3 linked regions of the Drosophila melanogaster genome follow. The gene in region 2 interacts genetically with the main gene of each other region. Each region holds a gene or a part of one and is shown on either strand. Other genes may lie near its edges. The genes, in order: sei, cac and Galphaq.

Region 1 (10,156 bases), on a different chromosome or scaffold from region 2:
GTTGTCGAAATAGGGTTCTTGAATATCGTAGGCCAACGAATTGAGCCAACCGATGTTCTTGGAAGCGATAGACTTTTCCGCATTTCCAATCGCATACCTTAAATAGAGTTAAGCAATTCCAAAAACAAATCGACTATTATCAGGCTAGTTTACCATATGCATGCCAACCAATGGGCAATCAAAATAAAGGTCGCCATCAACAAAATAAGAACTGCGGCTCCGTATTCCGAATAACGATCTATTTTTCGGGCCACGCGAACGAGTCTTAAGAGTCGAGCTGTTTTTAAAAGTCCTATTAAGGTAGTTGTCTGAAATGCGGAGTGCAGGCATTAATCAATTCCATGTAGGAGTGCATAGATGGCTCTCACCTCGTCGGTGTCACTGCCCACCAGGAGCAAATCGAACGGAACGGCGGCCACGAGATCGATTAGGAACCAGCCGCTCAAGTAGTGAACTGCTATCCGTCCGGGATGGGATACCTAGAATGAGTGTGGTTTGTTTAATTTCCAAATTTGAGTACTCCACCACGCTGGCCACTGACCACTTCGTCCTGCGAGTTGACAAAGGTCGTTCGAAAGTTTATTATAATGTCCACGATGAAGGTAACGTCCACTGAAAAGTTCCATTGATAGCTTAACCCACAAAATGCAGCATTAGTGCTCACCAATCAAATCGATGATGACAATTGGATCGGAGTTGATGTATTTGCTGTTCCGCCGCTGGTAATCCTGTTCCCCAAGCAAAAAGGCAGCCACGTACGGCGTGAAGATGGCCGTGTACATCACCAGGATCAATATTATCCAATCCCACACAGCCTTAAAGGGCGAGTAGTGCAGGAGGGTCCACTTGTGATAGTAGTTATTCTGCAACTTCTGGTCCAGCAGTATGTTTCCGCCCAGGGAAGTAATCTGATGATTTGAATTCAATAAATATAGTACTTTAATCGGCTGATTCAGATACCATGTCTGCATACCATGTCATTGGGATCCTGCCCCTTCGGCTCGCTTTTTGATCCGAGCAGAGCCTCCTTGTCCAGCATGTCGTCGTAGGAGTTCCCCATCACGTTGTCCGTCGGCTTTTCGGCCTGGTTGTATTTGAGGTTCTTGAACATGCACTCGTAAGAAGTGCCTTTGTGGGTCTGGAAGAGGTCGGCGTTATTTTTACGCAAGGGATCATACGAGCAGAGGAGATCGCATTCCCGCCGGGCGGACACCTGATAGTTCTTAATGTACAGCTTCTTCTTGTCGCACTTAATGCATTTCTTGAAACTTTTCTGCTTTTTGTGCTGACTTGGCTTGGATTCGAGTGGGATACCATTGGTTTCGACAGCATTTTCCCCCTTCATGGGCTTCACTTTTTTCAGGCACTCCCTTTTGTTGTTGATTTTGAATAGAAGAGGCGAAAAGAAGCAATCTGCCGTGATTTTCGTGCCTGGCCTCTCCTTCGATTTTCCACCAGCCTTCAGCTTTAGGGCTTCATCATCGTTAGTGGGTCGAGTCCTCAGGAATTTGTGGTACACCAGAGTGTTGTGGTCGGACACGTTTTTCGGAAACCGCGCCAAACTCTCCTTCTTGTCGTCGAACATGCTGGCGTTAATCAGGATATCTGAAACGAAAACCTGCTTCTTTTCAATCTTGTTCAGGTTGCACATGAGCGAGAAGAGTTCCCTCTCCACAAATTTGTTCGATTTTGCAGGGCAATTGCGCTTGAATTCCTTCACAGGCGGTTTCTTGGCCGCATTATCGTTAATATTGTTGTTGGACATGTACAGCTCGCATTGCTGCACTATTTTATCCAATTTTCGAATTTCGCTCAGTTCCACGCAAGATTTGTGGGACATTTTTAAGTCTGCAAAGTATAGAAACGAAAAAGTGTTGCAAATTATAATCAAACATTCGCAAAGCTCAGAATATCCGGATTCGTAAGCAAATTCAAATAAATCTTCGCTTAAAAACAACTTAATAATAAATCCAAAATTTCCACTTACTCCAGATTGAAATTGGCGAAAACTGCGATTTCTTACCTAATGCACTTTCTTATTTACTTGCAAATCAAAACAGAACAGGTATGACATGCACGCGGAGAAATCAGGAGTGGAAAATCATTTTCAATCAATTAAAAACACTTCAATTCGATCTTGTTCGTTACACATACTCTACTTTTTAAATATCATAGATAAAATAAAAAAATGAATAGATGTATGTAAATACATGGCATTTTCATTTCGAAGTCAACTGCTTTATAAGACCAACTTTTTTTTCCCGGTGTAATCAGGCTTTGCTTTTCTGAAATTTTCAGACATGCGTACTGCTTTCGGTTTTCAAAGATTCGAAACCACCGTGATTTTCGAACCATTGTTATTTTCCTTCTCGCATTCGGTCACACTATTTTCAAACGTAAACAATTGATTTTTCCTGCTAAACAAAAGTGGTTGAAAATGTCGGGAATCGCTGCCAAAAAGATTGCCGAAGCGGAGGACCTGGTGAAGCAGGCCGAGAAGAGGTATCCCCAACAAAAATATCCTTATAAAGGGGTTTCCAAATAACACCCATCTTTATTTGCAGCTTGAAGTTGTCCATGCTGAAATGGGTTCCTGATTACGATAGTGCTGCGGATGAGTATTCCAAAGCTGGTGAGTTTCACAAAGTAGGAGTGACTAATATCACCCAGAGTATCTATCTATAAAAACATTGTGACATCAATGAGATATGTAAATACTATGAATTACAGCTAACGATTATCCCAAAGTATCCATAACTTGCAAGATACACACATATTGGTGTACAATTATGTATCTTTCTTTTACATTTTTAATTGCAGCCACTGCATATCGAATAGCTAAAAGTTATGATAAGAGCAAGGAGTGTTTTCTGAAGGCAATCGACGCCTATAAAAACAACAAGTCTTGGTTCCATGCTGCAAAGGCATACGAACAGGTGAGCTTAAATTGAAGTTAATATAAGTGAAGTTAATAGGAAATTTAAACCCTCTAAATGTGCACATCTTCTAGATCATTTTGCTGTCAAAGGATGCCGATAAGCTACACGAAGTTGAGGAATACGCCAACAAATCGGCGAGTTTGTATCAACAGCACGGTTCCCCAGAGGCAGCCGCATCCGCCTTGGATAAAGCCGCCAAGTTAACTGAATCCAAGCATCCTGACATGGCTTTGCGCTTCTATCAGCATGCTCTAGAAGTCATAATGGTTCGTCCTATTTGACACTGCTCTAGTCAATTCCATTCTTAAACTATTAATTTTATACTTACCCGACAGATCGAGGATTCCGTCCGTCAAGCAGCCGAGTATGCATCAAAAGTTTCCAGGATACTGGTCAAACTAAGGAGGTATGTACCTATGATTGCAACGAATCACTTTGGGTATCCTTAGCTTATATCATCCAATCACTCCAGGTACGACGAAGCCACGAATGCGCTCAAAAAGGAGATCAGCTTGAATCAGCAAACGGAATCTTACGGACAAATTGGACGCCTAGTTGTGGCCTTGGTGATGGTCCAACTGGCTCGCGGGGATTCCGTGGAAGCCGAAAAGACCTTCAGGGAGTGGGGAAACTGCTGCGAGCCAGAGGAAGTGTCCACACTGCAGACCCTTCTGCAAGCCTTCGATGACGAGGATCCCGAGTTAGCTGCTAGGATGCTGGCATCCCCATTCATACGACATATGGATGTTGAGTACGCTATTCTATCTAAAAACATTCCACTACCTCAGGGTATACAGATGGAGAAGAAGGCTGGCGACACTGCTGCTGTGAGTATTTTTATTCTAAAAATGGAATTTGCAATTTTTGTTTTGTAAATTTGGCTCTTATTATGATGTTATCGATAGGCGATTGAATCTGCCTTTGTTGTCGATAGAAGACTTGGGACAGTGCGAAGCAGTAAACTAAATAGCTAACAAGAATTTCGTATTTTCTCTCTTTCTCTCTCGCAGGAAACCAACGACGCCGAGGACGAAGGTGGCTTGTGCTAAATTTCTTAATGTTCGGTCTGCTTGTTAGTCAAAATATATTTATCGTTAATAATATCGCTTTTAACATATTATATTAACTGTTAAATACAAATTTCATCGCAATCGTTGTACTAATTAATAAATACTAAGATCAATACTATACAACAAAGAATATCATTAGCTTTGGGATGAATTGATATTGAAGTAATAAATTGTAGCTATAAGTGTAAACTATGTATATATATTCTATGTTCCAAAACAGCGAATGTGTTAAGATTCAAATCTGTAAATCTTCAGCTTTATTACACGAAAGTATAGTGCAATTTGTTAATATAAATAAATAAATTAACTCAAACTATACTATGTATTTTAAAGCACCCTAAAATATTTGACATTTTGAAAGATCGAAAGTGTGCCATTTCACCGTTCCAAACGCTTCACAAACGTCGCGACGCGTCACGACGCATGTTGATACTTTGCCGGCGCCTGGCAACCCTAACCTGTGCGAAATAACCGACCAAATTGATTCGTCCGGTTGTTCGTGAAAGAAGGCGGAAGGTTAAACAGTATTTGTAAAATATATACTCGGCGAAGCAGCAATTTGAGAATTGTGAAAGCGAAAAACTACAGGAAAAATGGTACGTACACTTGGGACTCGCATTCAGACTCGGTGGTAAAAGCGGCCGGTCATTGTGCACTTTTGGAAGCGAGGTGGAGTGCAAATAATGTCTTCGATTCGATGAATCATATAAGCATCTCTCCTTTGAAATCTGTATATACATACATATTTAGATAAGTGTGTATATATCAATCATACATATATTTCCACTTTTTTTTGCCTATATGTTCGTTGGCCATATTCGGGCATATACATGGTCATGAATGTGTGCGTATACATATATACCAAATTAGTCATTGGTAGCAGCGGATATTACTCATTTATTGGAGTGTTTCATACTTCTCAGCCGCCACTCACACTCATAACTGGCAAATTCGCGAAAGGCAATCGCGAAAGAATGCTCCAAAGTGGCAGCTGGAAAAATGGAGCGATTAAAAATTGAAATGTTGGAAAGAGAAATGCACACACATTGGATTTTCATGTCTATACATATATATATTTTTACACACTTGAGCGTGTGTGGGTATACCGCTTTTTTTATATTTCGATGGCTATAAATATGTGCGTATGTATGTATCTGCGGGGCAATGCTTAATGCTTATTTTCTCGCAGACGCAAAATGTGTGTACATATGTACGTCCATATTACCATACAGAAATATGTATCAATATATATCCATATATGTATCTGCAGGCATACATATTTAAGGTGTGATCGTTTCCTTGCCGCCTTGCGGATGTTCATACATACATACACATGATGTTTAGCTGTGTGTGTGCAGCAGACGACTGTTTGCATGTGGGACGATTTTGATTTTCTCGACATTTTCCGAATATTATGGAAAATCGGGCATTTTCCACCGTTTTGTGAGCGCAACGAAATCGTGGGGAAACAGCCACCTCCCTTTTAGTTTTCTTTCTCCCTCTTGTCGGCTTGTTCTCACCCTTAAACTTGCCGGCACTTGTGAACTTACCCTTGAACTTTCCGAGCGCCGGGAAAAAAAGAAAGGAAAATCTAACTGTAAATGGTGCCACGCCCACCACTCCCAGATAAATCGGCGTGCCAAGTGTGCGCACGCCTTAACCGGTAAAAGTTCTGCGGTGGCAATGCAAATAAAGTAGCATAAATTATTTACCTTTATGTTTGTTATTGCCGGCAATCAAAGAAATAAAATTGCAAAGTCGAAAAGGGACGGATATACTGTCAGCTGAAGGTGGGCAGTTATGTCTGCCAGTCAGTTACATACGCACATATGTACATCAGTGAGGTACAGGGTGCCTCGTGTCTTATGTGGGCATAAAACATTGAACTTCACTTATTTTTTTTTACAATTCAACTACTTGGTACTTCATGAACATTTGTTTTAAGGGAATACTTGGGGAAACGCAAAGAGAGCACCCTGTATCACATACATGCACACACACTTGGTTGACAGTTTGGCGCGCATTGAACATTCAAAATACATTCTCTGATTTGCATCTCTACCTTCTCTCTCTCTAAAGGCTTCTGGTGTAACTGTGTCTGATGTCTGCAAGACTACATACGAGGAAATAAAGAAGGACAAAAAGCATCGCTATGTCATCTTTTACATTCGCGATGAAAAGCAGATTGATGTGGAGACTGTGGCAGATCGCAACGCCGAGTACGACCAGTTTCTAGAAGATATCCAGAAATGCGGACCTGGAGAGTGCCGGTAAGTTCCGCCGGTTAGAGACACCCAGACCCATCGAAACTAACCTAATTTAACATCTATTCGCTTGCACAGGTACGGACTGTTCGATTTCGAGTACATGCACCAGTGTCAAGGCACCTCTGAGAGTTCAAAGAAGCAAAAGCTGTTCCTTATGTCGTGGTGTCCCGATACTGCCAAGGTATGTGAATAGCCAGTTGCCAAGTAATGGCGCAGAACTCATTTCGATATCACACACCCACAGGTCAAGAAGAAGATGTTGTACTCCAGCTCCTTCGATGCTCTCAAGAAGTCGCTCGTGGGCGTCCAAAAGTATATACAAGCCACTGATCTTTCCGAAGCCTCCCGGGAAGCCGTCGAGGAGAAACTCCGGGCCACCGACCGCCAATAAACTGTACGAGCACTGTGCATTGCATTTAACAAACAAGGCATGCATGAAACAGCGATGGAAACACGTATCCTGTTGAGATCGCCAATTTGTATGAGAATTTTCTACATAATTTGTATTTTCAGTAGAAATAAAGAATGAAATATTTAACTTGACCAAGTCGCGTTTCCGCTGTGGTAAAAATCTCGTACCGCAGAATACACTTTATTATAAGGAGCAAAGATTACATTGTACATATGATGACGGTTCTAACTTATAGACCGAACGCTTAATAGCCATGCTGGATCACTAGAGTCTGGAGAACCTTTCTAATCTGGTGGCCAGTGTTCAGGCACGACTTCAAGCCCAGCGAGAAGGCCACCGTTAGGATGTCGATTGCGTGTTCCTGCAGCAGCACCGACATCTCCGGCAGATTGTCAATGGCCGTCGCTGCCACCGAGGAGTTCTCGTCCCGCAGGCACTGAATGTAGGCGTTAAGGGTGCACAGGTTGATGTCCGAATTGCCGGGATTGTGCTTCAGATGCCTGATCAGTATGATGAAGGCGATGGACCGGATCTGGGCACTCGGCGAGAATATAAGGTTGAGCAGTCGTTCGAACAGCTCGTTGATGAACACAAATCTCTTGGAAGTGAGGCACTCCAGCTCCTGCATGGGACCCAAGACCACGTCCTCCGTGTTGGACTGCTTTATGATCTTGACCAGATCGAGGAAGTGCGGCGATATGTCCGTGTAGTTCGACCGGCTGTACGAGCCCAAGGTTAGAACCGATAAGGGACCCCTACTGCTGCTTGGATCGATGGGTGTTTGCGGATTCACTTCGATGGGATCCTCTGTTACCACGGGCTTGCTGGCCGATGGCTTTACATCGAAATGCTCATCCAGATCGTACTCGTACTTAACTTCCTCGTCGTCCAATTCCGTCGCCGAGTGCGACTTGTGCTGCAGCAGGGCAACGGCCTGGACCAAAACCTGCAGTTTGCCTAGTGAGGTGTACTTGGCTGCAAGTTCCTTCAGGATGCCCACGTACTGTTCGATGAAGAGCAGAGCACTTGAGGGATTGTAGTTGATGTAGGCTTGGAGCATCTGCACAAACTTGTTCAGCATTTGGCAGGCCTCTTTTACGTTGCTGTGGTGCTTGAAGAAGTTGAAGTAGCACGACAGCGTGTTTTGGATCTCGTTCTTGTACGCCTCCTCAAAGATGGTTGGTTGCAGCAGCTCCAGCGTCCTCAGGATCTGTACAAATCGGTGGAAGTGGTGCTCCTCGCGCAGGGCCTTCATGCTGAGCTGGGCCCGACCTTGCATAATGGACGACAGCACGCCCAGCTGGCGAAGGAAGAGAAGCGGGTGGGAGGCAGCCAGCTTGCGAAGGAGCAGCTCGGTGTCCGTGGACAGGGTTTCAAAGTCCTTTTTGCCCACCAGACTGCCCAAGCAGGTGATCAGATTGTTGGACACCTTGTCCGCCTGGCAGCCCTTCAGATTCTGCAATTTGTACGCCTGCTCGCCGGTTTTGCCCGGTTTCAGAAACTTGATGCGCGGATACATGATGTACATCTGCTGGAGGACCTGCAGTTTCAAGTAGTCGGACACCGAACTTTTCTCCACGTGCTCCATTACCTTGACCATGAGGTCTCGTCGCTTCTCTGTGAGCTTAAACAGTAGGTTCATTCGCGAGCAGAGCTTGAAATCATAGTTTTTGCTGTCCAGCTTGACCTCGGAAAGCCCTTCGTGAAGGATGAAGTGGGAGAACGGCTCCAGTTCAGAAGTCCTCAGCATGAAGAAGGCATCCGGCCGTACGTTCTTCGACATGTACTTGTCGCGTCCCTTCCACAGCTTCGGATTGGTGGTCAGTGCCTCGAAGTAGTTGAGGACGGTGGCGTAGTCGTAGTCTTCATGGAAATTCTTGAACAGGTACTCGGCAATCCTTTCGATCGTGTCCCAGTTGGTTTGGTGGTTGATCAGGGACAACAGATAGAACCTAAACTCGCTGCAGGACTTTGAGAACAGAAAGCGCTCCTTCATTAGCTGAGTGGAAACTATCTCGGGATCCATTTCGGACAGCCAGTCGATGAAGAGCCCGTTGTGGAAGAGCTGGTCGCTCTTGGACTTGGCGACGGTCTTGCTGTCCTTGGTCTGATCGAAGCTTTGGACGATCGCCCGGACGATCCGTTTTCGTGCCACCAAGGCGGTATTCGCCTTAAACTGCTGCGCATAAATCTCGCGAGAGTTTCTCAGCATGAACACCAAGCTCTCATGATAGAGTTCGGATTTCTGCAGCAGACTGGAGTCGGCGAATGTGTGCTTAAACATACTTAAGTTCTTTTGGAGAGCGTTCTCCAGTATGTGATACTTGTCGCTGTGCAGCATGCAGCTGAAGAAAGTCCTTAAAAATGTGCAGGCGTGACGGCTCATCGTGACACTGCAACCCACGGCTAGCACCTCTGTTATGGCGTTAACCACATCCGCTCTATTGCTGTTCGGGCTTGCTAGCATGTCCAACAGTTTTTGAATCAAGGATCGGCAGTCACTTCGCGACTCAGTCAACTGGTCGGGCTGCGTGAGAATGGTTTGGGCTACCTCCTTGGTGGCCAGGAAGTTAGTGGGTCTATCATCCGAGTCTGAAGAATCGTAATCATCAATTTCAACGGCCTCCTGAATAACCACACTGATCTTGGGCAGATCTGGCACAGTCTGCGAGTGGGAATGCAGATCCAAGGCCTGTACGGTGTAGTGCCCATTCTTAGCACCCCGCGCCTGCTGAATCTCGATTAGCTGGGCCAGATAGGCCTTGTTCAGAATGGCATTCTTCACCAGATCAAACTGCTCCAGTACAGCGGTGTCCAGCATTGCCAGCAGCTTGGACATCGAGTTGACCGGCGTGCCAAAGTTTTGCACAAAGAGCACGATCTGATCCGGCGTTAGATCGTTGAGAGCTGCCTCAATTAGTCTGTCCACCGATGAGCGGATCATCTTCAGCTTCAGCCAGTCGGGCAGCAGTTGCACCTGCTCCTGCGGCATGCTGGGCAGAAAGGCGACGGGCGCTGGTCGTCCGGGCGGAAACCAATAGTCCAAAATGGGTATCGATTCGGGCATGTTGCTGTTGGAATAGGTGAGCAGGATAATGAAGGCGTGAATGATGTTTATGTGGAGCGGTAGCTGTACTCCATCGTCAAACTGAACCATCAGCAGGTCCGGATACTCGGTCCACTCGTACGGTTCGTGGTATTCCCTTAGCTTAATTATATAGTTGTTGAACATGACGAAAAGACACTTCAGAGTCTGAATGCGGTTCTCGTCGGGCACATAGTCGTAGTCCTCCTGCGAAATGATAATGTGCTGAAACATTGTGCTGCGCTCTACAATCAGCTGCGCCATATCGATGACATGATCCAGCATTTCGTTGACCGGATCGTTGAGCGTGTGCGCAGTGATGAACTGAATGTACGCCATAATCAGTTCCGGGCAATTCTCCACCTGGCAGGCAGCTCGCAGCT
Region 2 (10,156 bases):
TGGCCTGTCTTTGTCCCTATATCATTACTGGAATAATAAATTTCAATTTAAAAATGGGTTTTTAACTTAAATAATATCAATTCTTGTTATAAATTAACTAAAGTTTGACTAATTTGGTTGAGCTCTCTAAAATATGCATAGAAGTATTGCTAATACGCCATGTGGCTGGTGGTTTTGTTGTCTAGATTTCATATTTTGCTTACATTACATGCCCCTGTTTTATTGTGGTTTAAATATAAAATTAAATTAAAAAGAGACTTTATACTTTGACTAACAAACATCCCAGGAATATATTACGTAGGTGGTTTACTATTAAGTTTGGAAAATAATTGCAAAAAATATTATTATCCATTTTTATAGCTTGAATTCAAGGGAAGGGAAAGTCAGTCCCGATTCAGGACATCAAGCTGTTGGAATTCTGAATTCATAATATTTTTTAATTAGATAAAGGTGGCACGTACCGTCACTGTATCCAATTTCTGATACTTTTGTAACGACCGCTCGGCCATAATTATATTAAACAAGGTCAACCACAATACGCATTTGTCGGGAGTGACACGCCGTCCGTATGGAACGATAGCGGCAACTGGACATTTAGCTCGCGAGTCCGATGGCTGTTGCTGGTGATTACTGGAGGATGTGGCGGTTGTTTAGGATGGAGGCTGGAGGCTAAAGGATTCCGGCTGCGATTCCTTAACTGCCTTAACTCGCGTCCTCGTCCTGAATCCCTTGATCGTTGATTTCGGCTCGGCTGTTTTTTGTACACTTTATTATTATTATTCCTTTGCTGTATTTATCGCTTTTTGAATCGTTGTCTTTTATTATTATTTATTAGCTATTCCACGCTTTACCACCGTGTTATTATTGCACTTGAACTGAATTTGGAAATACGAAATTCGATTAGATGCAAATCACACACACACACACACACTCGATTCGATTCGATTTTGATTACGATTTGAAGTGAAACTGGTCAGATTCCGGAATCTCTGTTTCATTCGCTTGGCTTTGCGTTAGCTTTGAGTGTTTCGATGTTGTGCTACTTATTTTGCCAACCGATAATTATGATGCGCTCGGGTCAATTCAGTTCATGACCTATTGAAAACATGCTCATACACTCGCGCACGAACATATACATACATATGGATTGGATGGGAATGGGCATGGGCATGGGTATGGGAATGTGGTTACTCAGGTGCATGCCAAGTGCATGGCTGGTGTTATTTTTGTATCCAATATGTGGTGTATCTGTAGAGAAGCTGATCCACAACATTTCGGACTGGCAATGGCTATGGACACGGTCTGCAGATAGATGTGGTTATTTCGGTTATTGGTATAAAATTCCATTACTGGAACACGCCATGAATGAAAAACGTTAGGGGATGAAAAAGTCAGAGGCTGAGAGACTGGCACACATACAAATGCATGTGTATGGAACACCAAAAAAAAAAAAAGCTCAATACACTCGCACACACACATACACGGGCTGTGGTGAGTTGTGAAACGGTGAGATTCTGAATTCCGACTGGAAGAATTCTGAAAACTTGTTTACCTTTTACGGAGTATTCTTGAATTGACAAACTAGCCCATAAGGCAGTGAAACTACGAACAAGGTTTTATCTTTACAGTTATTTGCAGATCAATCAAATGTTTTGATTTACGGGGCTGATAACAAGAATTGGCATTTGCAAATTTCAACTCTCTCCATTCCATCCACACACACACACATATACACACGTACCGGCAGAAGCTCTCTCCCCCTCTCTCTCTCACTCTTTCTCTTTGGTTTCAACAATCACTGGGTCACACCGATAACGATAACATCGCAACCACAAATCGCTTGCCTACTTTTAAGGGCCCAGTAAATCTGGTTGCATTTGCATTTAAATTAACTATTGCCCTATTTTGAATAGTTCATTTTCAATTGCGCAAAGCAATGTCTTTTCTTTAAAAGCAATTCTTGTTATTTATTGCAATTGTATAGTTCCAGCTCTATTTTCCCTAGTGACGTCACCAGGCACAGTTGTCTGAAATTTTTTTTTTTTTTATGTTGACGATGTCTTTCGGAACGATTTTGGGTTTTTGGAATGGGCAGAAGCTATATATATCTGTGTGTCTAACTACAATCGGGCCACAGTGAGACCAACGAACCTGTAATTGCCAAAAATAAACAGCAACAATGACACACTTGCCATCGTTGCCCCCTCTAAACTAACGCTTTTTGTTATTTCTTTTTTTCTGGAAACTGTTACACTTTTAATTGGGCTTAAAGAACCAACTAACTGAAATTTGATATGTCGTTATAAGTTTAGTTACAGAGCACACGACTACCACAATATTTGTTCATATGCTCGCATTCAATTCCCCATACGAGTATTCATATGAGCATTGTTAAAAGAACAGAGACAAACAAATTTTTCACTTCCGTGAAGAGAGGAGAACCATCATTAGAATTCGTTTCCGGTATGGAAAACATATACATGTGTAGATTTGTATGTGTGTGTGTGGGTTGGGGAATTTACGACTAGTAAATATTTGTGTGGACTGAGAATATAGTTAATTTAAATATTAATTTGGGGGGTGCTTCCTGCTACATCGCCGCAATTCATTCACCTCGAAAGTGCGTGTACACGTCACAAAAATAAACGATATACCGATAGGCTAAAAAACACCCGAAAACTCCATATCTCCTTTTCCTTCTCCTTCAGCTTTAGCTTTGGCTTTAGCTTTTCCTTTCGCCTTTGCTTTTCCACTTGCCTCTTGCCACATCCACTTCCACTTCCATCCACCGCAATATATAGCACCACCGACGCAACATTCCGCCCGTTGTGCTACCGACCCGCTGACCCAATCCCAACAACTATGTATATATATATGGCTATACATATATATGTATATGTATATGTATATGTATATGGATATGTATATTCGTGCGGGTGTGTTGGTGTGTGTGTGGTGCGTTCGTGGGGCTTGTTAACTTTAACTTTTACAACTGGTTTTTAAGGATAGCTTCGGTAATTGGGATTTGAAACGAACGCATATATATATGTATATGAATGTGGCTAAAAATAAAAATTAGATCTGGTTGCCTGGAGGAGCACAATCAGAGGTCGTTTATTGGCTTCAGTAAGCCCGAATAATGCTTTTCACTTGGTTTCCCGATATCTTTTCTTGCTATTTTTGCTGTCCTCGCCGCCATTGTCGCCAATTCGACGTTTTGCCATTGGGTTTTTCACGATTTTTCACGATTTTCACGCTTTTCCGACTATATTTCTTGTTCTTGGTTTGGATGTTTGTAGTGTTATTTTCACCACTCGACCCGAATTCGGATGCCAGCGCACACAACATTCGAAATGTGGAATTTTCACAGCACTTTTAACCCCGCATTGCGAGTGATTTTCACTTGATTTCTTTAACGCCAGGCTTCTGTATTCAGCCACATTTTAGTTGTCGCACATTTGCTGTTAAATTGACTGGGTCCCGAGTTAAAAATAAAAAACAAAAACCGCTTCTACGGGAGCTGTCACCACCGACTTTGTCTCACCAGTTGGACGAAAAACTCAACAAAACGCAAGACTTCAACTCGGCGACTTTGTATCACATACTACCACATCGCCAGGGTCCAAACACACGCACAAAGGGCAAAAATATGGGGAAAAAAATCTACCAGCCCTGCGCTCTGCATCCGCCCGAAAGCTCTGGTCCAAGCTTCAGTTCAAGCTCAATCGGACAATCGGAGGTGGACACACTGGCCAGCCAGTGCGGAGGAGAGCGCATGCGTGTCCTCCAAGGAAACCCGCTCCTAGGACCGTTACAGTCGTCGATTGAGCTTTAAGCTCCGCTTGCTCTTCACCCCTTGGGAACAAAACTATCGAACTTTCGAGAAATCGCGGTTTTAAAATCCGGGCTTAAATCATACTGCTAAAGTTTAAAAAAAAAGCGAAGCGACGAAGTTTAAGCTACTTACCCATTCTAAGAGTTTTTTTTTTAATTGATTTAAGTAATTGATTTACTACTGCCACAATTGTTGATAAAGCTTTAAGCTTTAAGAATACTTTCAACCCCTTGTAGTAAAAACTTTTGCATCAAGATATCGGTTATTTGAAAACCCGGCTTTAACCGAATTACAAATGATCAAAGGCGCTCTCATACTTGACCTAATTAATTAATATATAAAACAAACAACATATTTTACTCTATTTCAGACTTAATTTTATCTCTGTACATTTCAATAACCCTCGTCAATTACCTTTGCATACTATCTTTAATAATAATGAATTTTTACCAATTTTCAATACTTTTCTAAATATCAATTGATCTTTTAAAATAATGTTAAGTTTAAATAATTTATATTTAAATTGGTAGTGGTACTCACATTAGGTCGCCTAGATTCGGTCGCGTCTGGACAAGAGCAAAACTTTCCGGAGCCCGGCGCCTTTTGTTAGACCCTTGCGAGCCGTAGTGCGTGCTCCGCCGGATGACGCCATCGCCGATGATGGCAATATTGTCATCCAGACCGTTGATGTTGCTAATGGTCAATCGCGCCATAGGAGATGAGCCCCTTCGGCGACGAGCTCCCACTCCGCCCAGCATTCTGGGAATCGATGAATCGAACTTTGCAATACGCGAAATGTACTCCAAATATTGCCATTTCTGTAATATATTCACTACCAACTATCGGGCACGTTCACAATACAATGCGTTGCACTTGTTTGGGGATCTTCAACGATTGCGAATGTCCGTAGACGACGGGCCCAGAGCCCCAGGTGTGATGCACCAGCTGCCACGGTCCGGACGGAACTGATAGTCGATGGCTACGACTGCTGTCGATGCCCCAACAACCCAGCAAGATAGATAACGGCCCAGATGGCGATGACGACGATTGCGGCTGATGACGTGCGATGACGTGCTTGATAGTAGTCAGCATTTGCGCAGTACAGTGTCTGCCGCTGGTAATTAGGGTGTCCAGGTGTCCATGGGTGAACGCCGCTCAGACGGGCCAGGCCGCCCACTCCGGCATATTAGCAGCTTCCTTTGTTCACGAGCGCCAACAACACACTGATAACAAAGGCATGGTAAACGTTACTGTATTACAATTAATTTCGATATCAAACATACCTGTGATTCTTTCAACATACACGTTTTCTATATGTGGTCAGAGGAATTTAAACATTGCAAATTTCGAGATTTTTAATGTTAATATTATGGTGGAGATCTAAAAGCGCAGCGATTCTATGGGAAAATTCCTTTTTGGCTTTCCCGTGCCATAATTTATTATTTGAATTGCCCTACTGTCTTAGATAAAAATAAAACTGAAATGCCATAATCAGAAGTTTTCGTAATGAAACTAGCAAAAAAAAAAAAAGAAAAAACCGATAACCGCTAATTACTCCGAGTAACTTTTGCCCATCGCCATGCCCAAGGGGCTATTATCACAGCGCTCACTTAGAAATGCGTTCCCATACACATTTCGGATGTGATTCAAATTACAAAGGCCGTGATCCAGTCCAGAAACTTGGCCACGTCGGCATATATAATGTACTGATTCTTACAGCAAAGCTTATGGCTAGATTCCGCATCCGGTGTCTCTACGGCGGGCAGGGCCGCTGATACTGTGCCACGCAGCATCCAGCGATTGTTCCGGCGGATGAAAAGTCCGGCCCCCGATATACCGGTGTAAATGCTCGCCCCGCTCTGATGCGTATCTCGTTCCTCCGCCTGGATGCCGGCGCAAAACGTTCGGTTTGAGGATAGGCTGCGAAAGTGGGCATTGGCTCGAAAGCATTCGGCATTGCCGACAATGGGAGCCTTTACTACCTTGGGTGCACTGGCATCGGTGGACTTCTTGCCCGGTAGCTCCGACGACAGCTTCTGATCCCGCGTCCTGTTCGTTCTGTCAAAGCTCCAGCCGATGACGATGCCCCGCTCGCCCACAATGTACTCCGTTTTGCTGGAACCAGACCACAGGCAAGCGGGTCGAATAAAGGTGTTAAATCTGCGTTGAAAATAATGGTATACTGTCAATATAATAAATGATCTTCATATTCGATTTCACATCGCGGTTTAGATATGAATCTAAATCTTGAATATGTAAGCTTTAGGCATATTGGCACCCACCGAACTTCGTCCTTGAGTATAATCACTGCGATATCCGCATCGTAGCTGCTCAGCTGACTGTTAAAGTCGGGATGAATGTAAATGCCATCGACGGGGGCCGCCAGAGATCCCTCCTCGTTCCAGTTCTTCAGATTGTGGCGGCCCAGAAAGACGAGCACCTCGTTGGATGTGTAGCGCTTGTTGAACAACTTGAAGCAGTGCGCCGAGCTGATTACAACGCGTGCCGAGACAAGCGAACCGCCGCACTGAAAGTCCAGGGAGGTCAGGTTGTTCACATAGATGGCCGCTAGCCAAGGCCACGATCCCCTGGTGATCGATGGCAGGCTATCGGCGCTATCGCTTTCTATCGCTTCTGCTTCTGATTCGTCCACAAACTGATGCTCCAGGACATCGTCTTCATCGTCATCGACAAAAACTGGCGATGTGATGCCATCGGAGCTCTTTGGTTCACCGATTGCGACATGAAGTGATTCCGTTCTTTGGGACAAGTGAAAGTCCAGATCCCTGTCGATGCGTCCGCAAATCTCCTTGGGCGCCTGGGCAAAGGGTTTTCTACAAAAGCGGACATTAAGTAACGAATGAATGTCACGATCGTGTGTGTGTTTTAACCGACCAAAATCCGGATGCATACTTCTTGAACTGGATGTGCGGCGTACTGGGCGGCTTGTCGTCGGTTTTTCTCACCTCCTCCTCCTCGGGATCTAGCAGCAGGGAGCTCTTCTTATCCGGTATAAAGGACAACTTCCTAATGTGCTCCAACTGGATTTGGGTCATGAAGATGCTGTGCTCTGTGGTGCGGGCAAACAAGTCATGGATTAAATCGTTTGCTACCCAAGTTCCGTGGATACGCACCGCCGGATCCGAAGCAGATCACATGATTGTTGGCTGACATGAGGAGCAGTTTGGGCGGGAAGTGATGTTTGGGAAAGCGGATCTTATACAGCACCGGTGCATTGTGGGTAAACTTGCCGCGTGTGAGTAGCTCGATTTCGCCCAGATAGTTCTGTGTGTACTAAGGGGATTAGGTAACATCTGGATGACAATATACCACTTACCGTGGTGGGCTTGCCACGCATCGAGAGCGTAACTCGTATGTGGAGCGGCTGGTGGCCATCCGGACTGCGCACGGCCATCAGGCCGAACCATTCGCTGCCGTCGAAGCGGTACTGAAACACCTTGGGGCACGGACTGATCGGCATTCCCTGGGCGACTGCCTTGGTTACGTGCTCGATGCAGAGGATCAGGATCGCCGCCAGGTGCAGCCTCATCGCTAGTGTCTGGGAATGCCCGGGATGAAAATGCTTTTCACTCAAAACAAACGTAAACAATGCCGCAATTTCGATCGAAGCTTTAACAGTCCGGGAACACTGTGTGCATTTTATCCACCAACAGAGTTGCCAGACCAAGAAAGTAACCCCTGTTAATTAAAATGAGAGAGGGGAAATTGATCCTTTAAATTCTCAATTCCGTGCAAGTTCAAATTTCAAAAAACTTTACAAATTAATTATATCCCACAAATATGGATTCTACGAAACATTTACTGGATCCACTGTTAGAACTAAAAGGAATATTTTTATAATTTCCAAGTTTATTGTTGTCTTTTTTTTATAAAAACTTAAATTAGCAAATGCCTTGCTATTTTTACATGGGTATTTTACATGGGTATTTACAAAGAGATCGTTTGCTATGATGAGGTCCAAGCTCCAATTTGAAGAACCACATTTATTTGAAATTATCTGTGCTATTAGGAAAATTCATCCTCCTCGCCATAGCCCCACTCGTCCTCGATCTCCTCGTTGCCAAAGAATCGCTCCAGATCCTGTTCAGCCTCCGCCGGAACGGTATCGGCGGTAAGCAGTTGGTCCTGATCCTCCGGACAACCGCGGCAGCGACTCTCGTTGATTCCATAATTGAGGCAATTCTCGCCGACGCACTCGCAGCATCCGTCGTGGAACCATCGATAGCTACTGGCTCCCATGCTCTCGCACTGCTGCCGGCACTTGTTTGCCCGAATGCACGAGTTCACATAGATCACGGTGCATAGGGTGACACCTGCAGACCCGGCATTTCCATTTCCATTTCCGTTTCCGGCATCACCACTCGCGCCGCCCTGAACGCGCTGCTTGAAGCCGGCTCGCATGGAGAACCTTATGGTGGACCATCCCTCGTCATCCTCGGCGGTTAGGGTGTCGAACAGCTCGGGCACTCCTTCAATGTCTCCAATCTCCGAGCGCGGCGTCAGCGAGGGCAGGACATCCTTGTGCTTGGGACACATGTCGAGGCAGCCACAGCACTCGATGTACAGTTCGCCAAGGCAATTTAGACAGTCCTTGCAGCAGTGGCAGTCATTTAACTTGCACTGGCAGCTCTGGGTGATGAGGCACTTGGATACCACCGATCCGCAGACCACTTCGTTGCATCCATCATCGTTGGCCAAGGATGACCACGGTGCGATTCCAACGAAAAGGATGACGAAGTAGCACAGTAACTGCATTCTCGACGAGATCTCGCGGCCTTATGATACATTATCCACGATTGCGGCATGCCTTTATATGTTTTTTTAATATTAGTATCCAGATGGTCAGGTAGATGGCTCATCCTTACCACAATCCGCTAATCCTCGTGTCGCGAAAATCAGGTAGTGACCCTCAGCAGGCAGGCTGGTCATTTAAAACCATTTAGAGGTAACTTCTCCTATAAAATGTGCCAAAATAAGGGATGATCATCTCAAAATAGCCTTACTTTTAAGGCAGCTTCTAGGATTAAACACGCAAACATTACCTGTATTATTGACTAATACGAACCGTTATAAAATAAGCCAATTAGGTAACATAAATAAAGTCCATTGGTTGGCTAAAACAAAATGCAGATTCTTAATCCTAAATCTTAACCGCAAACAGGTATTATTGGCTCTAAGGACTTAACAGGTATAATTACAATTTGTTAAGTGTTTTGGCCAAAAATCGATATATTATGTTAAGGGAAGTCAGAAAAACGACATTTGGCAAAAATGCCATAATTTATAACTTGGCCAAAAATCATCACATGGCTAAAAGAAAAACAGTTTCGCTCAGATAATTACCAATGCTAAAGATCCATATCATTTTTAAGCGGATACTAAGAAATTAATTTTAAGATCAATTTTTGCATTTTCGTAAGGTATCAAAATGCGAAAAAAATTAAAAAAAAAAAATTTTCCTCAAATTATAACCCAAATCGATTGGAATTTAAATAACAAGCTCGTTGAGGTATAACATTCAATTTATAGACCATTATTTCGAATTTTCTGACCAAAATACGGATTTTTTTATTTACAACAAAAATCGGGTGAACGATTTTTGGTATAACTTGGTCAAAAATGGTCACAAAACAAAAATAATTACCGATTTATGCTCCTAATTACCAATACTAACCAACCCTATCACTTTTTGACGAATTTTGTAAAATTATTTTTTGGCCAATTTTTTGCATTTTTTGTAAGGGGTAACATCATAAAAATTGTCAAAAAACTGAAAAAATTAATATTTCTAAATTTGGACGCCATTCGATTGGGAATTTAATTACGAGCTGAACGAGGTATGACACTCCATATTTGCAACATTATTTCCAATGTTTTGACCAAAATATTGAATTTTATTTACATATTTTTAGATAGCTTTGTACATTTCAAAGGCAACGATTTTCGTTACGCAACAAATTGAATGCTATTTCAGTTTTTTATTAAATTTAAAATTTTAACATTTCAACAACTGGGAATTTTCGCGTATACACTAAAAAATTTAGTTGCCAAATAATGAGTAATAATGAGTGCTATACTGGTTTACTCGGCTGCTGGCTCAGGTGCAGGCTCGGCAGGAGCAGGAGCAGGAGCTTCTGCCTCCGGTTCCGGTGGCGCTTCGGCGGCAGGTGCCTCCTCCTTGGGCGCCTCATGTGGCGCCTCCTCCGCTGCTGGGGCTTCCGGAGCTGGAGCTGGAGCTGGAGCTGGAGCCGGTGCCTCTGGCGCCGCTCCTTCGGCGGCTGGCTCAGCTGGTGGTGGCGC
Region 3 (10,156 bases), on a different chromosome or scaffold from region 2:
TGTTTCCACATATGCGTAGAGTAGAATTGTTTTTATTTGGATTTTTACATAAATAATTTGTTGATGGGGTTTTCTATTTATGTGCGTCTCATTTAGTTATCCTTGTATATTAAATTAAACTAAAATTATAAAAACAAAAACAAAACACTGAACCCACTTGGCCAGACATCGCCGTTTTGGCTAGCCGCCAAAGCGAGTCCCTTGTTGCATACATTAAGATCTATAAAATAAGCAAACAACTAACAAAGTTAATGTAAAAAGTACGAAAATCAAGCTATTTTTGATAACAATGTTTCGACTGAAATTTTGATGGCAACAAAAGTACGTGAGAGCAAAACTTTCCCTTCTGATAGTTGTGTTTCTCGACCAGTGGTATATCGCATTTGATTGGATTTAACCTGATGTCTGATTAAATATCAATAAGTTGTATGGATTCTGCTGTTGCATGTTGCATGTTGCATGGGTGGTTATCGACATTTTTTACAAACACGTATTTAATGAATGCTCCATGTAAATGTTTCTGGCTTTTCTCATACAAATCTAGCTCCTATATCGTTTTTGTATTGGTTTGCATGCGTTTCATTTCTTTTCTTTTCATTCTCATGGTATTAATACGAATCGTAATTTACAATGAATGGAGCTCGCGCAATGCAAATTAATCAATTTTTAAATTGTTACATATGCGTTTATGAATTATTATATCTGCTTTCATGTATAGTTAAATATTTCGGTAAACAATAGTATCAATATTTACGGTTTACTGTTTAGCTTAATAAAAAATACAGTATTATCTGTGATTTCGTTTTCATTCATTTTATCATTTTATCAGCTTATCATTTTCGGTTTATTATTTTTACACGCCTATATGCCCTGAAATTCTAATAAGAAACTTCTTGCATATATAATTCTTTGAATATATATATATTTCGGGGGATTTTTACGCAAAAGTATGTTTTTGTTTTTCTGTAGTTATTTAGTAAAATGTTGCTTTATTATGTTATGCTTCAGTACGACAAAGTTGTTTCAGTTTGTTGTTCCTTATCAAGCTTTTGATTAAATTTACGTTTCATATTTTGTGTTTCGGATTTTATTACAAAAGTTACTATAGTAATAAATTTATTTAAATATTACAGAGTGACAACAACTAATTCGGACGATATTTTGTATAAAAACTTTTCAAGGAAATCATGTTTCTTGTGTAGGAAGGAAAAACTACCATCAGATTTATTCAAATCTAACCAAAAACTCTATCGATTGGGTACCAATCATTTCTGGCCACTGTCTTTTTGACTTTCAAGAGTTTTCCTAGTCGAAACAAAAAAAAAAAATTCACACAACGTTTTCTGAAAACTTTGCCGCTAGAAAGAATAGAAGTACTGCAATATAAATAAATGTTTTACGAATCGTCACATTCGTAAGAGAAACTCTGCCCTGATTATTTGTTGTCACACTGTATCAGATTTTGTGTTATTTTTCTCTCAAATTAAAATGTATACATCTTTTTCATCATTCTGCTGATGCGGTTTTAGCATCTCAGTTTAGTATTCTATTTATGCTACAATTTTCGGTTCCTGATGTAACAAACGTAAGAAACTTTCTCGGGTCTAATTTATGCCTAATTTTCGGCCACATTCGCTCGCTTCTCAATTCTTCTTTTATATTTAGTAAATATGCGAAAAAGGAATTATATGAATGTGTATGTGTGTTTGTATAAAAATCACAAAAATAGTTTTTCGATCCAAATCCAGTTTAGACCAAATTATATTCCTTAAGGTTCGATTGCAGAATTGTGTCCTTAACAGCTGCAAACACAAACCTTATATTTTCCGTATCTAGACAAAAGAAAAGAAGGCGTAGTTAGTTTGATTTTGTCAAATAATCCTATGATAGTAAACTGCACACATTTTCCATTCACGATATTTCACAGACTATATTTAGTTTTTATTGAGGGACTTTGAAAAACAAATCATATACATTATAAATAAATAATTCATTTGCATTGCCACTTTTCCTGATATCCGCACTGCCCGCCTTAGCCCAAATTGAATTCCTTAAGTGCATTTTGCATAATTGTATCTTTGACAGCGCAGAACACAAGTTTGATGTTTTCGGTATCTGTTTACCAAGAGATCGTTGTTTTATTAGAAATCAATTCGTTTAGGTTTGCAAATTTGACTAGCGATACACAACTACTCTCTACTCTAGATCAGCGGCAAAAGCAAATATGCAAATGTAAATGTTTTTCACACAAAAGTTTACCTTTTGACCAGTCCTTTTTAGGCTGAAAACTAAAATCACATCCACACACAATTTCTGACCAAACACAGAACTGGCAGCAAACTTACCTGTAGCACACGTGAAATGAGAATAGATAATTTTTTCGGAATCTGGATTTAAATCTACAAACATTCGCAGTATAAACTCTCGGGCCGTTATTGCATCTCGCTGAGGACCTGTTTCGATAAGAAGGCGAATATGAAGTTACGTCTAGCGTGGTTCTACGAAAACTAGCAAATAATCTACGGATGATATTGGCGATTTAAGGCAATTACATAGATCTTAAGTACATAAGGTGAAAATCCACCTGTGGCCGTTGTGAAATGCGAATAGCATTGACGTTCGGGATCTGGATTGCAGGCCAAGTACTTTTTCAGAACGAACTGTTTGGCCGCAGCGTGATCCTGTTTTGGACCTGGTTCATTGCCGCATAAAATCGTACATAATTATGGCCACCTTTATCATGCGGAACACTTACCATCGTATTCAGGAAAATAGTCTACCAAATGCGAATACATTATTTTCTCTTCCAACAAGTCCTTCTTATTCAGGAAAAGAATAACTGACGAATTTTGAAACCAAGGGTATGTAATTATAGTACGAAATAAAGCTTTAGATTCCTCCATTCGATTCTGTGAAAGCGTACAGGTGATTATTTGTTTAAAAAAAATATATTCATAACTTGAAATCATACCTCATTATCAGATTCAAACAAGATTTGATCGTACTCCGATAGCGCTACCAAAAATATAATTGATGTCACATTCTCAAAGCAATGAATCCACTTTCTTCTCTCGGATCGCTGACCACCGACGTCTACCATTCTGTTTATTAAGAAAAATATATTATTGTAAGAAAAGTTAACCAACAAATTAACTACATATAAGGCCAAACATACAAGCATTTAATTCTAGAGCGCAAGCAACGAATCTATTAGTAACTAAATTGTAAGAAATCGTCTTCACTAGCTTTACAATGACCATTTACATTACTAGCCTTGCCGGTAATTACCAATTGATATTTTTAATAGATACCTAAACACAATGCCATCCAAATCGAATGGATACTCAAGAATGCCAGTTGTCGGCACTCGAGCACGCAGAATATCCTGCTCGGTTGGCAAGTAATCAGCCTGTTCAATTCGAGCTAGATCGCTCAAGTAGCTAAATTAGATAAATTAATACACTTTTAAAACAATGAACGGAACCAAAAGCAGTGGCAAAAATAGTTTTGCAACCCGTCTCAGTCCATCAATTTCGCTGAAGGCCCTAACTAAGTCCCTGAATTGTTTGCTTGAAGAGACATGCGCTAAAGAAATTCTTAAGTGTGTAGTTACAAAGTACAAAATAAATTTTAACCATAACCAAACAAGAGGTCATGCACATGCAACGAAGTAAGGGTAGAAAGATGGTATGTACCTAAATCTGATTTCTTCTAAATCAAAGGGATACTCAATTATCCCTGTTGTGGGCACACGAACTCTTAAAATGTCTTGCTCAGTGGGTAAATATGCAGGTTGAGCCACACGATCGAGATCCTTCAGATAACTATACATAGACAAGATAATTGATTTAGTTTGCATAGTCGTTTCGGTAGTTTCAGTCTCTTCAGTTCGTTTTTCGGTCATTTTGCGGACGGATTTAAACCGTTCCCTTTGCATGCCAACGGTTAACTTACTATTTGGCTGAATCAGTCAGCTGATATTCCCTACGACGATCATAGCACTCCTGGATGCCAGCATCGTCCCAAAGCGTTTTGATGGCATTCAAGTATGGATCCTCGAACGTGGTAACGGTCTCATAATCGATGCTCATCACCAGATCGGCCAGTTCCTGTGGATCGTAAGATGTTGTTTAAGATTCAGTGACTTCAATTAGATCAATGTTTCACTTACACTATGCTCTCCCTGGCCGTAGGAAATCTTCAGCATATCCATGGCCTTGATCATTGACTGCATGGCCATGAATATGTTCTGAAAAACCAGCTTGATGTACCCACGCTTGTCCTCGTCCGAGTAACCGCTGCCGTGGATAATACGCATCTGTTTGATGAATGTGGACTTCCCGGACTCGCCAGTGCCTGGGGATATAGGATTGGAAAATATATATAGCCATAAGCGGCGGGCAAACAATGCAATTAGCGAGGCGGCTTCAATTGCATTAAGCCAGGCTAAGTGCAATCGAAATGGGCCATGCTCCACTTACCCAGTAGTAGCAGTTTAAGCTCGCGGCGCGCATCTCTCTTGTCCCGGCGCAACTGCTTCTCGATTTCCTGATTGATGCGCTTTTGTTCCTTGGCCTCCTCCGATAAACAGCACTCCATGCTAACTAGATTTATAGACGCTTTCGCGTGCTGCTGCCACTACGCTCGACAGACCGTTCCGTATATAAAATGTATGCTGTTTGGATGGTGGGATGGTCTCCTGGACTCCCTTCTCTGGACCCTCGGACACCTAGCTAATTGGTTGTATGGCGGGCGTTGAATTCACCCGTTCCAAGTTATAGATTCTGTTGTAGTTTCGATTGGTGCATTTGTACTTCGGCTTTGCTCGCTCTGCAGACCTCCTCCAGCGCTTACGATCCAGGCTCTCTTTGGCTATTGCTATTGCTAATTACGGGTCTACGCTAAGTTCTTGACCAGATTTCGGTGACTCGGAGGCTGAGAGTGATGGTTACTAATGAACAAAGACCACATCGAACGATCCAAGAACATCTGCAAGGAGACAAAGCTTTGATTTAGTGCTTGCATAACCGAACTGTAGGATCTATCCAACTATTGCTGCTACGGACCACCACAGTTGTTGGCCCAACGAGAGTTCGCCGCGTTGTGTCCCGTGCTGACAATTAACATTTCATATTTGCTAGCCTGCCCCACTAGCTGGCGACGTCGATGACGACGTCGGATATAGATTGCCCATGGCTACCCATGACTACCCCGGGACTTCCTCTGACCATGGCATTGGCTTTGGTTCTAAGTTCTGGGCCTGCTCTCTCTGCGCAGACCTGGGATCGCCCTCTACCAGGTGGCAATAGATTGAGGAAGCGTTCCCCACAATGCCCCTCAGCCAAGTTCAATGCAAGAAAGCTGATTTTGGAAAATATATGGCTTCGCTGGCCACAAGTTAGCGAGAGTGTTCTCCTATTGGGTGGACCAAGCAGTCTATGGATAAGAAGAATTGGCATATCATTCTAATTCGGAAATAAAAAAGTCACATACCGAAACTTATGATGCAAAAACACAGCTCTATACACAAAACTGGAATATCATTGCATAAACTTTAAAACTCTTAATGTACTTTTATCGTTAAAAGATATGAGTCCACCCGAATCCGCGGTTCATTCATGGGTTCAGCATAGGGCATGCCTATAGAATATAGCCTATAACCACTGGTGCTATTTCCTCTCTTTTCCAACCCCTAGTTTATATATCGAGTGATGGCTAATCCAATTTCGTTTGGCGAACACATTGACATGGGTCGAGGTAAGGCTTTCAGCATGACCACTACCAAATATCGATGGAATACCTAGCAATAATTTTGACAAAAGTCTGACCAGGAGAATTTGGCGGGCTCAGGTGGGCGAATATGGAGATCTGGATAATGATGGCTAGACGCATAGTATTCGGGAGGATTAGTGGGCTGCACTCGGAACACATTGCTCGCTGAGCAAAGCCACAAAATCGAATTAGCAGTGGCAGCAAAATTCAGGGGCAGGGGCACGCAATTGGCGCAATGAAGCGTTTTTTAACAATAGTTTGCCAGATATATCATGCCACCAAATCAGAGGGAGATTTACCTACCGCGAACTGGTCTTATCTGCCTTACATATTGTATATGCTGATGATAAACCACTCTGAGATAACGTTTGATTTGACTTCTTAATCTTTAGACGACTACTGCTCTTCTGAAAATCACTGTTCTAATGCAACCCATTTCCGAAAAACCATTTCTAAGCCGGAAATAGCTTCACGTTACTCATGCAGTTCCTTATCGCATCCTCAGCCTATTTTTGCTGGAGAATTTATGAGCTCATATTTTAGATACAAAAGTACCCTTTCATTATGATGAAAGCATGGCTTTTACACAAAATAAATATATTCGAATGGATTTGAATAAGATGGATGACAATCCATTAAACTCGCCTGGAGAATAATTCGATTTTTGGATTATAATATATTTCGGCCAGTTTTTAGTGGCAACCAACAAGTGGTCGGAGTCAAAAATTAACCACGAAATTACGATTCTTGTATTCAATGAGCATTCAGTATTACTTACTTAACATTACGGAGACACGGGACTAAAGGTATTCAGACGAGATTCTCCAAAAAGATGTTCCGGTTATCGTCTCGATTTGTTTTAGCTACCACTATGTTATACAAAAAATATTGAATTTCGGGTTTTAGTACGCCGATTGAAGTTCTTCCGGATTGATCGTGTTCTTTTAATTTTTGTTTTTGGTTCCCTGCCGATGTTCGGTCTGTTTTAAATATTTTTAGTTTAATCACGCGATTTGCTTTGCGGTGCGTTGGTTGGTCTTACGTTTTTTAGTTAGCTTAAACTAATTTCAAAAGCATTTCGTTTTTAGTTGGTTTGCGGTTTGGAAAACATTTGTTTTTAAGGAACGTGTGTAGTTGGTTATATATTTTTTACTGGTGCTTTTTAATATAAAAGTTACGATAACGTCTGTTCGGCTTCCTTTTAATGTAAATGTGTGATACGATACTATTTATATATGTAGATATATATCTATATATAATTTTCCCTTTTTGCTTCTAGTTTTCGGTGTGTATGAGTGCTGTTGTTGTTGTTGTTCTTGGTTTTTAACGTTTCTTCTTGTTGTTGTTGTTTTTAAACACCAGTCTGTAAATGCAACGAAGTTTCAACAAATATTCATTGTAGTGTAATTGAAACGGAAAAGTATGTACGACGACAACGACGACGACGAGCGGTCTTCAAATTGATTTCACACGAAACACTTAGTGGCTCCTTTTGTATTTAATTTTCTGCATATTTTATGCTTCTTGTATTTGTTTATTTTTCTGTATGCAGTGGAACTGCAAGTAAAGAAGAGAGACAGAGAGATAAGGAGAAGAACGATGGGGGGGGGGGGTGGTATTATGGGTGGTAAGGTGGGAATATGCATTCCGGAAAATCATCATCATACTGGCTAAGGTAAACACACACGACCCTCAGCTACCATTTTTTTTTTCATTTTTTGGTTAGCCCACCCGTTTTAAGCCCAAAAATATGCACAATCCACTATGTAGTTACGCGACCCCAACTAACTTCTCGCTGGCATGCACCGTTTAGTGGCAAAAGAAAACCACATTGAGTTAAACAAACTATTTCTTTTTTAAATTTCTCAACTTTTTTCCTATTCGCAGTGTTTTTCTCGGGCAAGCAGTGCGACTTGCTGCGCACTGCTTTACGAACGAATACACACAAATATAAGCGAGGGCGTTAACGAAACGAAAAAATTTTGATAGCAATGCGATTCGAAGATTTCGCGATTCGATTCGCCGTTTGTTTAACAATTATGGGGGGGCCTTGCTTAATGGCCAGCACTGTTTGGCGAAAAAATACACTTTACACTGGCATTTCGGGGAACGTTTTCGGTGCTGCTAAATTTTTTTTTTGTCGAGGGGGGGACTTTTTCGGGTGGCTGCCAGGCGGCTGCGGATGGCGACCGCTGGCTGGCGGGGAGTCCGTTTGACGGGGATCTTGCTCGAAACTCACAACATATTCGATTTGGCATCGCTCGCTACTCACAACATATTTAATTTTGCATTTTTCGCTAACGTTGACGCACGACCCGACTTTCGATAGCAGGAGGCGTTATTTGTCCGAACCTATCGGCCCTATCGTTCGTCGATATCGATGGTCAAACCAATCGGACGGCATTTGAACTAGTGGTGGCAAGATATCGATGATGGAATAGATGCTCTTAAATCAAAGTCTTCATTGTATTACATAAGGAAGGAGTTTTATTTGCCGCATAATAACTAATAGAAGTGGTTTATAACAAATAAAAACGGATTTCCTGGCAGTTCAGCTTAATTTGAAAATATATTACTTTTGGTATTTTTTAGTTGCCACCCCCACCACAACACATGTCGGTGTTGCCATACGGATTTCTATTCATGTGTGTCAATACACATTCTTAGCAATAAGGTTGGCAACGCCTTACATCCTTCAAATAAGGATGGCAACGCCAGACATCCTTAAAAATAAGGATGGCAGTGCGCCATATTCTCATAATTCAGGATGGCAATGCCTGATAGCTTTAGGAAAGACTGAAAATGTTGTGTCCTTTTCACTCTCTAACAACAGGGAATACACTTACCATGCACTTCCATATTCGTTAAGCTGTGACCCGAACCAATGACTATGATCGTAAATTTTAAATAACTAAATATATGTGTGTATAATTACCATTTAGAACATAAAAAATGCGAATATCGTAAAACGCCGGTCAATCGTCAAATTTACAAGCACTTTCTATCTTCGAAATCAGAAGACATTGCCCGCCAAATCAAAAGACTTGTATTATTTAATCTATGTTTTATTGGCTTTCTGTAAATTATTATCATTTGTTCAATATGTTCATGCGATAAATAAGTGTTTAAATTAATTAAATAAAATTAAAATAATAACTTTACAGTGTGTGCACAATTTAAACAATTATTTCGGGTTTCGTGTGATTTACAATCGAGTTAAATAAAATAAAAACATCGAATCGATCGGTTAGTGACTATTGGATTGTGTTCGCGTTATAAAGCTGTAGCTAGTTCGAGTCTCTCAAACGAAAAATTAAAAACCAAAGTACAAATTAAAGATACACGTAATCGCTAAACGTTAATGTTGTTACTTGAAACAATTTCCAAAACTTCGGGGACCACAGAGGAATTACATCTGGCCTTTTTGCATCGCCCCAAAAATACATTCAATTGACTATAAAAAACTCGTACTACATATTTGCAAAATTCACAAAATACAAAAGGTTCAGGCTGGCTATCTCCTCCGACTTTTGATTTGTTTAACAATTACTCTAGCTCTCGAGTGATATGTTTTACATTTGTGGTTTGCCATTAACAAATTACAAATTAGATACGTTTTGTTCGCATTAATTATGAGCACAATAATAGGATTAACAAATAATATATGTATACGTAGGTTTATGCTTTAGGTTTTCTTGAAACTTAGAACTAAAAAATAATGTTTGAAACATTTTCAAAATATTCTCTCTCTCATTCCTCATCTGTGTGTTCGTTCTTCTTTGTGTTAACAATAACAATTTTATGGTTGGAAGCACTGCCCTAACGAACAATCGCTATAAATGGATTGCCAGTTACCGAATACATTTCACAAAACAAGAATTTATTAATTGGACAAAAGCAAAAGCAGCGCTCACAAAGAAAATTTGGCCAAAAGTTTGTATTTGGATTTGGACCTCCGTTCGTAAAGATTTTTATGGTTGATCTGAAGTTGCTGATGGTTCGTTGCTAGCCCAGTTGTTCCCCAGTTTGTCGCTTCAGATGGGACGCGTGAAGTTGGCGGGGAAGAGTCCCTTCTCGTTGGTGCCCTCCTTCTGACCCATCAGCCAGCCTTCCTCCTGTAAATTGGCAATAAAGAACTGAACTCAATATAGACAGGAAGTGCTGAGATCTGCATTTGGCGCGGAGGGGGAAACTAGCGCGTGCAAAGCTCAAAGGAATGTGTATCTCCGGATTCCGAAGTTATACCCTTGCAAATGATAGAATCTAACAAGTTTAGCTTACTTAAATTGATGGAATTTTATGGAAATGAGGACAGACAATCCCATTAACATTGAAAGTAGCTTGAAGTTATATAATTACATCATCTGCAAAGGGTAAGCCAACC

What was found.
Region 1: of cac (region 2) and sei, changing one suppresses a phenotype caused by changing the other (phenotypic suppression), as found in Drosophila melanogaster (one study listed by BioGRID).
Region 3: of cac (region 2) and Galphaq, changing one enhances a phenotype caused by changing the other (phenotypic enhancement), as found in Drosophila melanogaster (one study listed by BioGRID).

What each region holds. Positions count from the first base shown.
Region 1 is NT_033778.4:24,041,115-24,051,270, reverse strand, and holds the start of sei (seizure), read right to left. Parts: upstream 3,861-10,156; 5' UTR 3,767-3,860; coding exon of another isoform or gene 3,412-3,766; 5' UTR 3,346-3,411; coding exon of another isoform or gene 3,275-3,345; 5' UTR 3,268-3,274; intron 3,206-3,267; coding exon of another isoform or gene 3,011-3,205; intron 2,937-3,010; coding exon of another isoform or gene 2,821-2,936; intron 2,633-2,820; coding exon of another isoform or gene 2,565-2,632; intron 2,503-2,564; coding exon of another isoform or gene 2,438-2,502; exon of another isoform or gene 2,368-2,437; intron 2,069-2,367; exon of another isoform or gene 1,988-2,068; intron 1,849-1,987; 5' UTR 1,841-1,848; coding exon 974-1,840; intron 909-973; coding exon 665-908; intron 613-664; coding exon 542-612; intron 480-541; coding exon 369-479; intron 309-368; coding exon 154-308; intron 98-153; coding exon 1-97. Other genes in the region: gammaSnap1 (gamma soluble NSF attachment protein 1), read left to right, coding at 2,438-2,502, 2,565-2,632, 2,821-2,936, 3,011-3,205, 3,275-3,345, 3,412-3,766, 3,950-3,988; tsr (twinstar), read left to right, coding at 4,603-4,605, 6,089-6,279, 6,352-6,457, 6,521-6,667; IntS1 (integrator 1), read right to left, coding at 6,933-10,156.
Region 2 is NC_004354.4:11,980,302-11,990,457, forward strand, and holds the start of cac (cacophony), read right to left. Parts: upstream 4,787-10,156; 5' UTR 4,594-4,786; coding exon 4,376-4,593; intron 3,615-4,375; exon of another isoform or gene 3,535-3,614; intron 876-3,534; exon of another isoform or gene 462-875; intron 1-461. Other genes in the region: gd (gastrulation-defective), read right to left, coding at 5,482-5,995, 6,118-6,669, 6,749-6,905, 6,970-7,129, 7,173-7,385; tsg (twisted gastrulation), read right to left, coding at 7,862-8,611; CG18130 (uncharacterized protein), read right to left, coding at 9,938-10,156. UniProt on the Drosophila melanogaster protein: Voltage-sensitive calcium channels (VSCC) mediate the entry of calcium ions into excitable cells and are also involved in a variety of calcium-dependent processes, including muscle contraction, neurotransmitter release, gene expression, cell motility, cell division and cell death.
Region 3 is NT_033778.4:12,610,740-12,620,895, reverse strand, and holds Galphaq (G protein alpha subunit q), read right to left. Parts: upstream 8,157-10,156; 5' UTR 8,050-8,156; coding exon of another isoform or gene 8,045-8,049; exon of another isoform or gene 8,017-8,044; coding exon of another isoform or gene 8,012-8,016; intron 7,330-8,011; coding exon of another isoform or gene 7,239-7,329; exon of another isoform or gene 6,551-7,238; intron 5,110-6,550; exon of another isoform or gene 5,067-5,109; intron 4,990-5,066; 5' UTR 4,600-4,989; coding exon 4,482-4,599; intron 4,357-4,481; coding exon 4,172-4,356; intron 4,110-4,171; coding exon 3,955-4,109; intron 3,825-3,954; coding exon 3,696-3,824; intron 3,441-3,695; coding exon 3,312-3,440; intron 3,102-3,311; coding exon 2,972-3,101; intron 2,910-2,971; coding exon 2,756-2,909; intron 2,693-2,755; coding exon of another isoform or gene 2,585-2,692; intron 2,454-2,584; coding exon 2,346-2,453; intron 2,116-2,345; coding exon 2,033-2,115; 3' UTR 1,913-2,032; downstream 1-1,912. Other genes in the region: CG45086 (uncharacterized protein), read right to left, coding at 7,239-7,329, 8,045-8,049; Amph (amphiphysin), read right to left, coding at 9,807-9,887.